Linked DNA regions of Daphnia pulex. The protein of the gene in region 1 purifies or fractionates together with the protein of each later gene. This does not show direct contact. Links are inferred from orthologs where the notes say so. Each region holds a gene or a part of one and is shown on either strand. Other genes may lie near its edges.

Region 1 (4,078 bases):
AGATGTCCGCTGTTCGCCAACCTTGTTCCTCGCTTAGACACACCAATGATCTATTCACCAAAATACCACAAAAATTGCCATTAATAACGGACTTGGACGCAAGGAAAAGCGAAGAAACAAAAAAAATAAAATAAAAATAAAATAAAATAAACAAGTCAAAAGAATTTAAAGAAAATCCGTTAACTAGAATCTAAAGGAAAATAGACAATTACACATGCTCCAATCATTTCCAAATTGGGATGCTCTAATCATGCTAACATATATTAGTTAACTCACCCATCCCAATTCCACGAAATAAATTTTTTTAAAGGGTAAGTAAAAATGGGAGAAAATTACAGTTGGCTTTTCAGTAAATTAAGGAGTAAGTTTTACCTAGCGGCAGCTGAATCTTGATGTGGACTATCAAGCAACCAGTCGGCCAATGTAGAGTCTTTGTAAACGACACTACGGAAATGATGACCACCATTGACGTTGTATGTTCCAACTGCCACGCGAATAGGTTGCGGCTCCGTGAATTCAGAATAGCGAGAACACATGCCATGCAATATATCGGCAGGCAGGACACTCCAGTGCGGTGGTAAAAGACTGCGAGCCAGGTCAAAGATGAAATCATTCCCCGTACCTCCATGGATCAGCAAATCGAATGCTTCCTATTTTAAAAGGACCGAGTTATATTTCCAATTTCAAGCTTACGATTTAATTTCGAATTTTACCTGTTTACTACTGTCCAATAAATTATTCTTAAAAAAAATAAAAAAAATATAAATGTTATTTTAACCTTTCAAATTATACATTAAGTGGAAATAAAACACCGGGCATAGGTTACGCATAGCCTACTTGAATAGTACGAGCAGCCGAACGCGCGCCATCCATTATCTTTGATCCACCCTATTAGAAAAACACGTTCTTAATTAATTCAGAAAAAAAGAAAGAAAAAAAAAAACAGCTCAAAATAAAATTTTTAATAAAATCAATCACTTGTATAGCGCCAGTTCCAGCGTAGATTTTGCTGATTTCATTTCCATTGTTAACCCACATCGCCCGGAAAACTTCCTCAAACCTTGTCCACGTCTGTGGTTTCGTCTGGGGTTCTAGCGCCTCCAATTGTAGTGCTAACATCTCTAAACCGATGAATGTCTGCACACTTTTTTGGTAACAAAATATGCAACTATAAGTCACCAATCCACAAAAACAACCTAAATAATTAATCATACCAATTAGTTCGGTCAAGGCAGTCAAGACAGTTGGTACGAACAACTCCTTTTTGCTGTGAAACTACTCGCTGATTCTTGAGTAGGAAGAAGGAATGGCGATCTAGGATCGGCTTCAGACTTTGTTTCAATTTGCTGAGATTTTGGAGATTACCACCTTTACATTCTTGGTGGTAGTCGAACATTATGTGAGGCATTGCTTCGTAGTAGCGCTTCTGATCAGCCTGGAAGAGTTGACTAAGAGAAGCCTCGCCTTCTTTCGCACCCACCATGTTGAGACCGAGTAGATTTACAATAGCTGTGTCATGATATCTTTGCTGCATTAGTTTCAAGTGGCGTTCCAAAGCTGGCGAAGAAGCTTCAGGGCCACGAGAAAATCTGACTTTATGCGAGCCTACTTGAACACCTGGCTGTTCCCAGAAGAGGGGGACAGATCCACGAGTTTGAAGAAAAGCTGAAGCATCTCCTTGGTCACCATATATGAGTTGCTCCGTTTCAACGAAATTAGCTACATGGCCTTCGTCGTTAACGCCGCGTACATTAAATCGCGTACCAGCCCGTTCACAGCTAAGACGAGAAAAAATTGCTGCTTTGAACTGACGATGTCCTGCATAAACAGTGCGAATTTCAACGCTGCCACATGTTATCCGTAGAAGCCAGTGGGAACAGTCAATTCCATAATGTTGCAATGGTAGATGCAACAGCCTAAAAAATTAAAAATTAAGTTAAGACTTAACCCACAACACTTCCTTACTTATATAAAAATCTGGTCTATTTTGTTTGTAATTGCAAACCTATTCCAGAAAAATCTGTTGTCTGTCCCAGGATTCTGTTGGAGCTTCTGAGTACATAATGTAGCATCAATCGAGTCTTCACTTGATGACCAGAGAAAATAAAATGTGCCAGAGTTGAATAGTTTCCTCAGTTCAGTGACTCTCTCTTCTTCCACTGTTTGGGGTCCCCTCAGTGGAAAAAAACTTGTTTGATTGATTCTAAACACTTCTGACTCCCCAATCTTTCCAACTGACACACAACCTGTAACCATGACTAGATATTGTAAGGGTCCATCTCCTACAACCCAATATAAAAAAACTTAAATTAGATTCTAAAAATATGAAAAACTTAAATTATTTAACAAACCTGTACTGACTAACAGTACTCCAAGGCATCCATAAGCATCAGAGAGTTTTGTGTATGATTTTTTCACAACTTCAACCTCAGCAGATCCTAGTTAAAATGGTATACATTTTGGTTATTTGTATGTGAGAATAAAAAGAACTTTGCTTCGATTACCCAAGGCAGCAATTACTAGAGATTCAAATAAGAGAGCTTCGTCTCGGTTTCGTTGTTCGAGTAAAACACTGTACGGTCCCTGTCCATTGACTTTATGCCATATTTTATAACTTTTTCCCATAGCCATTTTTGATGGCTCACTTTAACAATACAACTTTTAAAAATAAAATGTGCGCTCACATTAGCTTTTACGTGACTTAGAATGGAATTGATACGCTCGGCTCGTTCTCGCACATTCGTCTGTCAAAAAGACAAAAATCAGAATGTCAAAGTAGCACAGTCGGGATCAGCTGTGCAATGTGCTGAATCATAGAGGATAGGAAACTAGCTATCAAACTAGGAACGAAAATATGATGAAAGCGCTCGCCGCGCCCCCATGCTGCAGTGTTCGGAAGATCAATTGGGAATTTAAATTGGAAATGATTAAATCGCGATTTAAATCAACTTTTGGGTGATTTTGATTTTGATCTTAAATCATTTTGTCTTTTATGATTTTTTTGGTGATTTTTCGATTTTAAATCACATTTTTATAAATCAAAATCAGAAAGCAAATTTTTCCCCAAAACTATGTTCAATGATCCAAATTTCTAATTCGTATTCGTAAAAAAATTCGTACAAAAAAACCACCTTGGTGGGGTTGGGGTGTGCAAATGAGCGTGAATGCCAGTGCCCGTAAAACATGTTTTAAAGTTTTGAGTTTTACGGGGCTGACGCGCTGCCCAAGCCGGCCTAAAGGGGGGGTGGGGTAGGGGGTCGAGCGGGGGAATTACGCACATCCCTGGGAGAGGGTAAGGGGGTTATATATATGGTATATGTTTACATTTACAAAACTTACTCAAATATAAACGAAAAAACGAGGTCTTTGCATGAATAAGGGATCGGGTGGAAATTAATATGATTCGAATCAGTTTTTCACGCTGATTCTCACAGTATGTTTATTTTATTATCAAAATTATAATTTCCCCACGTAGAATATCTTATCTAAGTTGAGATAAGCTCCCCCCACTTTAAAACGGACCCCACGCAATTTTTGGAGGGCGGTTCTTTTAATGTGGTGAAATTGCAGAAGACCTTAATCCAAATCACCGTTTTCATGCTGCCTACAACCCTCTTTTGCCTAAAGGCCAAATACAGATAAGGTGGTGTTTTGCTCCACATCGCTGGCTCCTGCACCGGCGGTGCACCGGCGGTGGGGATTCAAGCAGTCAATTTTTTTGTGGAGACCAAAGCAGTTTGAACATCTTTTTTGGTTTGTGATGATCGTCTTCTTTTCCTCCAGCTCCATTGTGCAGTTTACATGCAGAAAACGCAGGGCAGCGTTTGTTTTTTTGGGGTTGGAGCTGCTGCTTCTCTCCTTGGAGGTGGCGCCTTGTTTTTCCTGGGTCTGTTAAGAGATTTGGATTGGGTAGTCGGCTTACTGCTTACTCCGAGCTGCCTTTGGGTGTTGTTGCTGCTTTGACTAGTTGTGGAATTTGTACCGGCTTTGGGTTCTGTACCCTCAAACGACTGAGTCGCTCTGCAACTTCTATCTGATCTTTAAAAATCTTTAGAATTTGATCAATGTCTGTCATCTA
Region 2 (4,101 bases), on another chromosome or scaffold:
GAAACCCGGAGACTATCGATCGGTTTCCTCTTTAGCGACACAGCCAATCGATAATATCCGATGAACAATTGAATGAACAAAAATAGAAATGTGTTCACGCACCGAAAACGGATTCTTCGCCTAGTTTGCGTCCATATGCCGACATGGTCTCCCCTAGGGTTCCCTCCGGCTGTGGGTAGGTGGCAGCTTTGGCTTGACCACTTAGTTTGCTTATTCCTGCTGGTCAACGATCTTGACATTAGTACGAAACGGCATGGCTTGTTAAATCATTAAGAATTACCTTTGACTGCGGCCATCTTAGCCCGGGCAGTAGGATTGGGCTGCAAAAACTCTTTCGTCTTCATTTGGAGCTCCTCCACTAGTTCATAAGTAACATCAGTTTTCTGTGTGTCGAGAAAAGTCAAAGTGAAAACAAAACAAAAGTTAAACGTTAACACTATCGTCCAAAAAATGAAACATTCAATCATCATTACCCTCTCCATTTCGACGAAGTCATCGTCCATTTTGGTGCCTTCTGCGGCACCCATCTTCTCCGTGACATACTATTCAATTGACAAGGAAAATTAGAGCAAAAATGGTAGATAACATGAGACGACAAAATCAAAATTACAAGAAAACGAACGGAGGTGTGGGCACATGCAATTTCGTCATGTCGGATTTAATAGGAGGAATCAAAACTTGTAAGTCATAGAACAAGACCGCCCATGCATTATTCTCTTGTCCAGCGTTGTTTTCAATCGGTTTTCTTGCAACCACTCAACCTCCCACTATTTGAACCGACTGCGTCAAACCGATATCTTCTTCACGGTCTGTGAATCTCAAATTCATTCAGCTCTACGATTTTAAATCCAATCTCAAGTCCAGCCTCAAACAAAAAGTTTCCGACATGAGAAGAAGGCGACCCAAAAGGAATAAGGAGTGGGGAGTAGGAGAAACCACGGATCGATGAAGAAAAAGAACATGGAGAGCGCGGGGGTGTGTAAAATCAATACAGTATACACAGAACATACTTGGTTGGCTTTATTGATCTGTTTCTTGAGACCGGCGAACGCCATGATGCTTTCGGTTTTGGGGTTGGCCTTTCTGGATTCCTCCTTTTAGATTCCAACTGAATGAAGCACTACTGACGTGTCCCAGTATTTGGCATCCACCTGCTCATCAGAATAACAAAATGGAAATCACGGTGAACAATAAGAAATCACTAGACACAATTTTCTAGAATTAAGTTCATTGGTATAAACTTGTTTTCAAATCGAGCGCCATTTTTATTGATTTTTCCAGACACGCTTAAGAATCGATAGCTAGACACAAATTCGATTATCGTTCACCATCTGGGCTGAAGGGAAGAAAAACTGACTTTCAGCTCGATGGCAGTAGTATGCATCAGCAAAGTTATTGATTGATACTGGCACAGACGTACCCCTAACCCTTACCCCCCGCTACCTCGGCACACAAACAGAGCAGTGGGAGTCGTCGATAGCGTTTACCCACACACTCGCCACCGTGAACATATCGACGCAGTTGTTTTCTTTTTTGTTTGTTTTATCGACAACGAATATAAGAGTTACTGCTAAAACGAAAGTAACAAATATGAACCGAATAAGTACCGCTAGGAAGTGGAACAGGCCAGCCGACGTAACGGATCTTGAGTACCGGTCGAACGAGAAGAGTAGCCGTTGCCAAAATGACAATTGGAAACGAAAGAACATGACGAGGCGCACGCGCCCGACGCGATTGCAATTGCAAACTTGAACCTATCTCTCCATTACGAGTTTCATCGACTGTCTGATTCTCCGGTTGTTAACGACGGCAATCGGGCATGGTCAACATCTTTTGTTTTTCTTTTTACCCCCCAACGAATAGCAGACGGAAAGAAAAAGGAAAGCAAAAGTGAAATACACGGGGCGTTTTACTTTTGCTTGTATGGAGGAGAATTCTTCCGATTTTTTTATCATTTCCATCCAGAGAAAGAGAGTGGGAGGGAAATGTAGAATTTGTTATTTCTAGTTCCAAATATGGAATCCAACCACGGCCTTTCGATAACAAATATCGACCTTCTTCTTCTTGTGTATCTCTTTTGAATTTGGTTTGGGCAGGGATAGAGAGACTTGACCGTTATGGAATGAGGTGGGACGAGCGAAACAGTAGACGTATACGTAAGATACCCATAAAAGGCTTTCAGAAAAGAAGAAAAGAAAGTCAATGTGGTGGATGCTAGTAGTGTGGGTGAACAAGTCCCCCCGGAGAACGGCCGTTTTGAACCATTATACGAGAGAGAGAGAGCCATCTCTCATCTGTGTCTTTGTAGGGCGCGCGTCAACACTACCACTACTACTATACAACGGCACTTATGTATTCGCTGCTACGATATGACTAATCAATATTGCCCGTCTGGGCACCGATAAGAATCTAGACCCGATAAAATAACTTGGTTTGCTAACCTATTTGGAGAATTTGGGTACGATCTGACATCAGTGCGACGACTATATATAATCAAGTGGAATAAAAACAGATGGAGTGACTAAATCTTGATCCACCTGCAAATTGTCTGCATGCTAAAAGCCCAAGGCAAGAAATACCCAACGAGACAACAAGCAGACCTTGTCGTTATTTCATGAGACAACAATAAAACGGTCACACTTACTTGACTGTTGTTGTCTCGTTTACTTTAACTGGATCGAAGTATGATGGCACCGAATATTCACACTTTTTTCCCCAATCGAATGTCGAAGACCACAAGCGGGACTATTTCAGCACCGTCGACCGCTGCTTGACTGCAACTGCTGACGGCAAGGAGGAGTGGGTGGGGGGGAGGAGTCTGGCTGGCATACCGCGTTGCCAAATCGTGATAAGATTATTTTCGTAAGAGTCGGCGGAACACGGAGAATAAGACATGGAGGACGCGCTCACATCCCTTCTCACATGGAAAAATGTTACACTCGCTCGGTAAAAAGGGCGTCAACAATTGCTCACAGAGAAATTCTATTGGCTGTCGTTTAGATTTGCGTTCGGGCGTAGCGTGGGAAGGAAACCGCCGACACGAATTGAATCTGAGCACTTGCTAACGCCCATTTTCCACTTGGTCGAGACATGTTTCTGTACTCTTTCTCTCTTTGTCTGTGGTTCTAGACCCACGATCGATAATGCAGCAAGGCTCTGCAACTTGCATTCGTTTTTTTTTCTTGGAAAATAGCGGCGACTTGAGTGAAACTACTCTGCTTTAGAGTTTAGCCGTTTTCGATTTGGAACTCAATAAGCTAAAAGCGGCTGGAAGTGTTGGGGACAATTCTTTGGAAAAATACACAACTTAGTCTCACTTAAGCCGAGTAAACTGTTTCTTTTTATGTAATGGCAGCAATATTTTCAGCAATAGACGTGATCTAGCGACAACAATAAATTACAACTGTCACAAAACTAAATAGGCACCAAAATTAGCAGTCTCTAATTGGTAAGAAAATCGATAAGACCATTACAACTGAGAAGACTATAAGGGAGAAAACAATTTAATTGAATCCCTCCCACCCGGCTCGGCTTTGTAATCTGGATTTCAATATTTTAAAAACCACGGTAACTTTATTCGTTCGTTGTGTCAATCAACAAGGATGATTAATTTGAGTTTCAATTATTCTTACAGAACTCTTTATGAAACAACTGAATCAAAATGAGTATGGAATTATTAAATCGCTATAGATAAAATAGTGTAGATAAAATATTATTCATCTTTAACTTTAGACAAATGTTATCGATTTTAGATTTTTTAAAAATCGAATGATATCGCTGGCAAACGAATGTGAAATTTGTTTGACTATTTTCTTAAGGAGACTGAAAAAGGAGGGTATCTAGCGACAAAAATTGAAACTCCGTTGCACGGAGCCAATGAAAAAAACAGAACAATTTTTAAACAGAATCCTAAACTAAATGGTTACATAATAAAAAAAAATACTCATCAATGCAATAACAAACAAAAATTAAACTATTATTTAACAAATAATTTTTTTCTTTTTATTACAGCTTCTTGGCTTTATTTCTTATTTCTCGTCTTATGTCCTAATTCATTATAAATAATTACCACGTTTGATTAATAATTCACTGATGCTTCTT

Evidence for each region. Proteins that work in one complex are often made in the same cells at the same time.
Region 2: the proteins of synaptojanin-1-like (region 1) and endophilin-A-like purify together in Drosophila melanogaster (affinity purification with western blotting; 3 studies listed by BioGRID). This does not show direct contact. The link is inferred for Daphnia pulex from reciprocal best matches to the Drosophila melanogaster genes Synj and EndoA.

The regions. Positions count from the first base shown.
Region 1 is NC_060023.1:5,749,180-5,753,257, forward strand, and holds the start of synaptojanin-1-like, read right to left. Parts: upstream 2,801-4,078; 5' UTR 2,632-2,800; coding exon 2,505-2,631; intron 2,439-2,504; coding exon 2,352-2,438; intron 2,283-2,351; coding exon 2,006-2,282; intron 1,917-2,005; coding exon 1,215-1,916; intron 1,145-1,214; coding exon 979-1,144; intron 889-978; coding exon 838-888; intron 741-837; coding exon 714-740; intron 651-713; coding exon 373-650; intron 51-372; coding exon 1-50.
Region 2 is NC_060027.1:5,385,568-5,389,668, forward strand, and holds the start of endophilin-A-like, read right to left. Parts: upstream 2,801-4,101; 5' UTR 2,645-2,800; exon of another isoform or gene 2,442-2,644; intron 1,782-2,441; exon of another isoform or gene 1,608-1,781; intron 1,152-1,607; 5' UTR 1,056-1,151; coding exon 1,011-1,055; intron 543-1,010; coding exon 474-542; intron 384-473; coding exon 281-383; intron 220-280; coding exon 103-219; intron 1-102. UniProt on the Drosophila melanogaster protein: Required presynaptically at the neuromuscular junction. Implicated in synaptic vesicle endocytosis.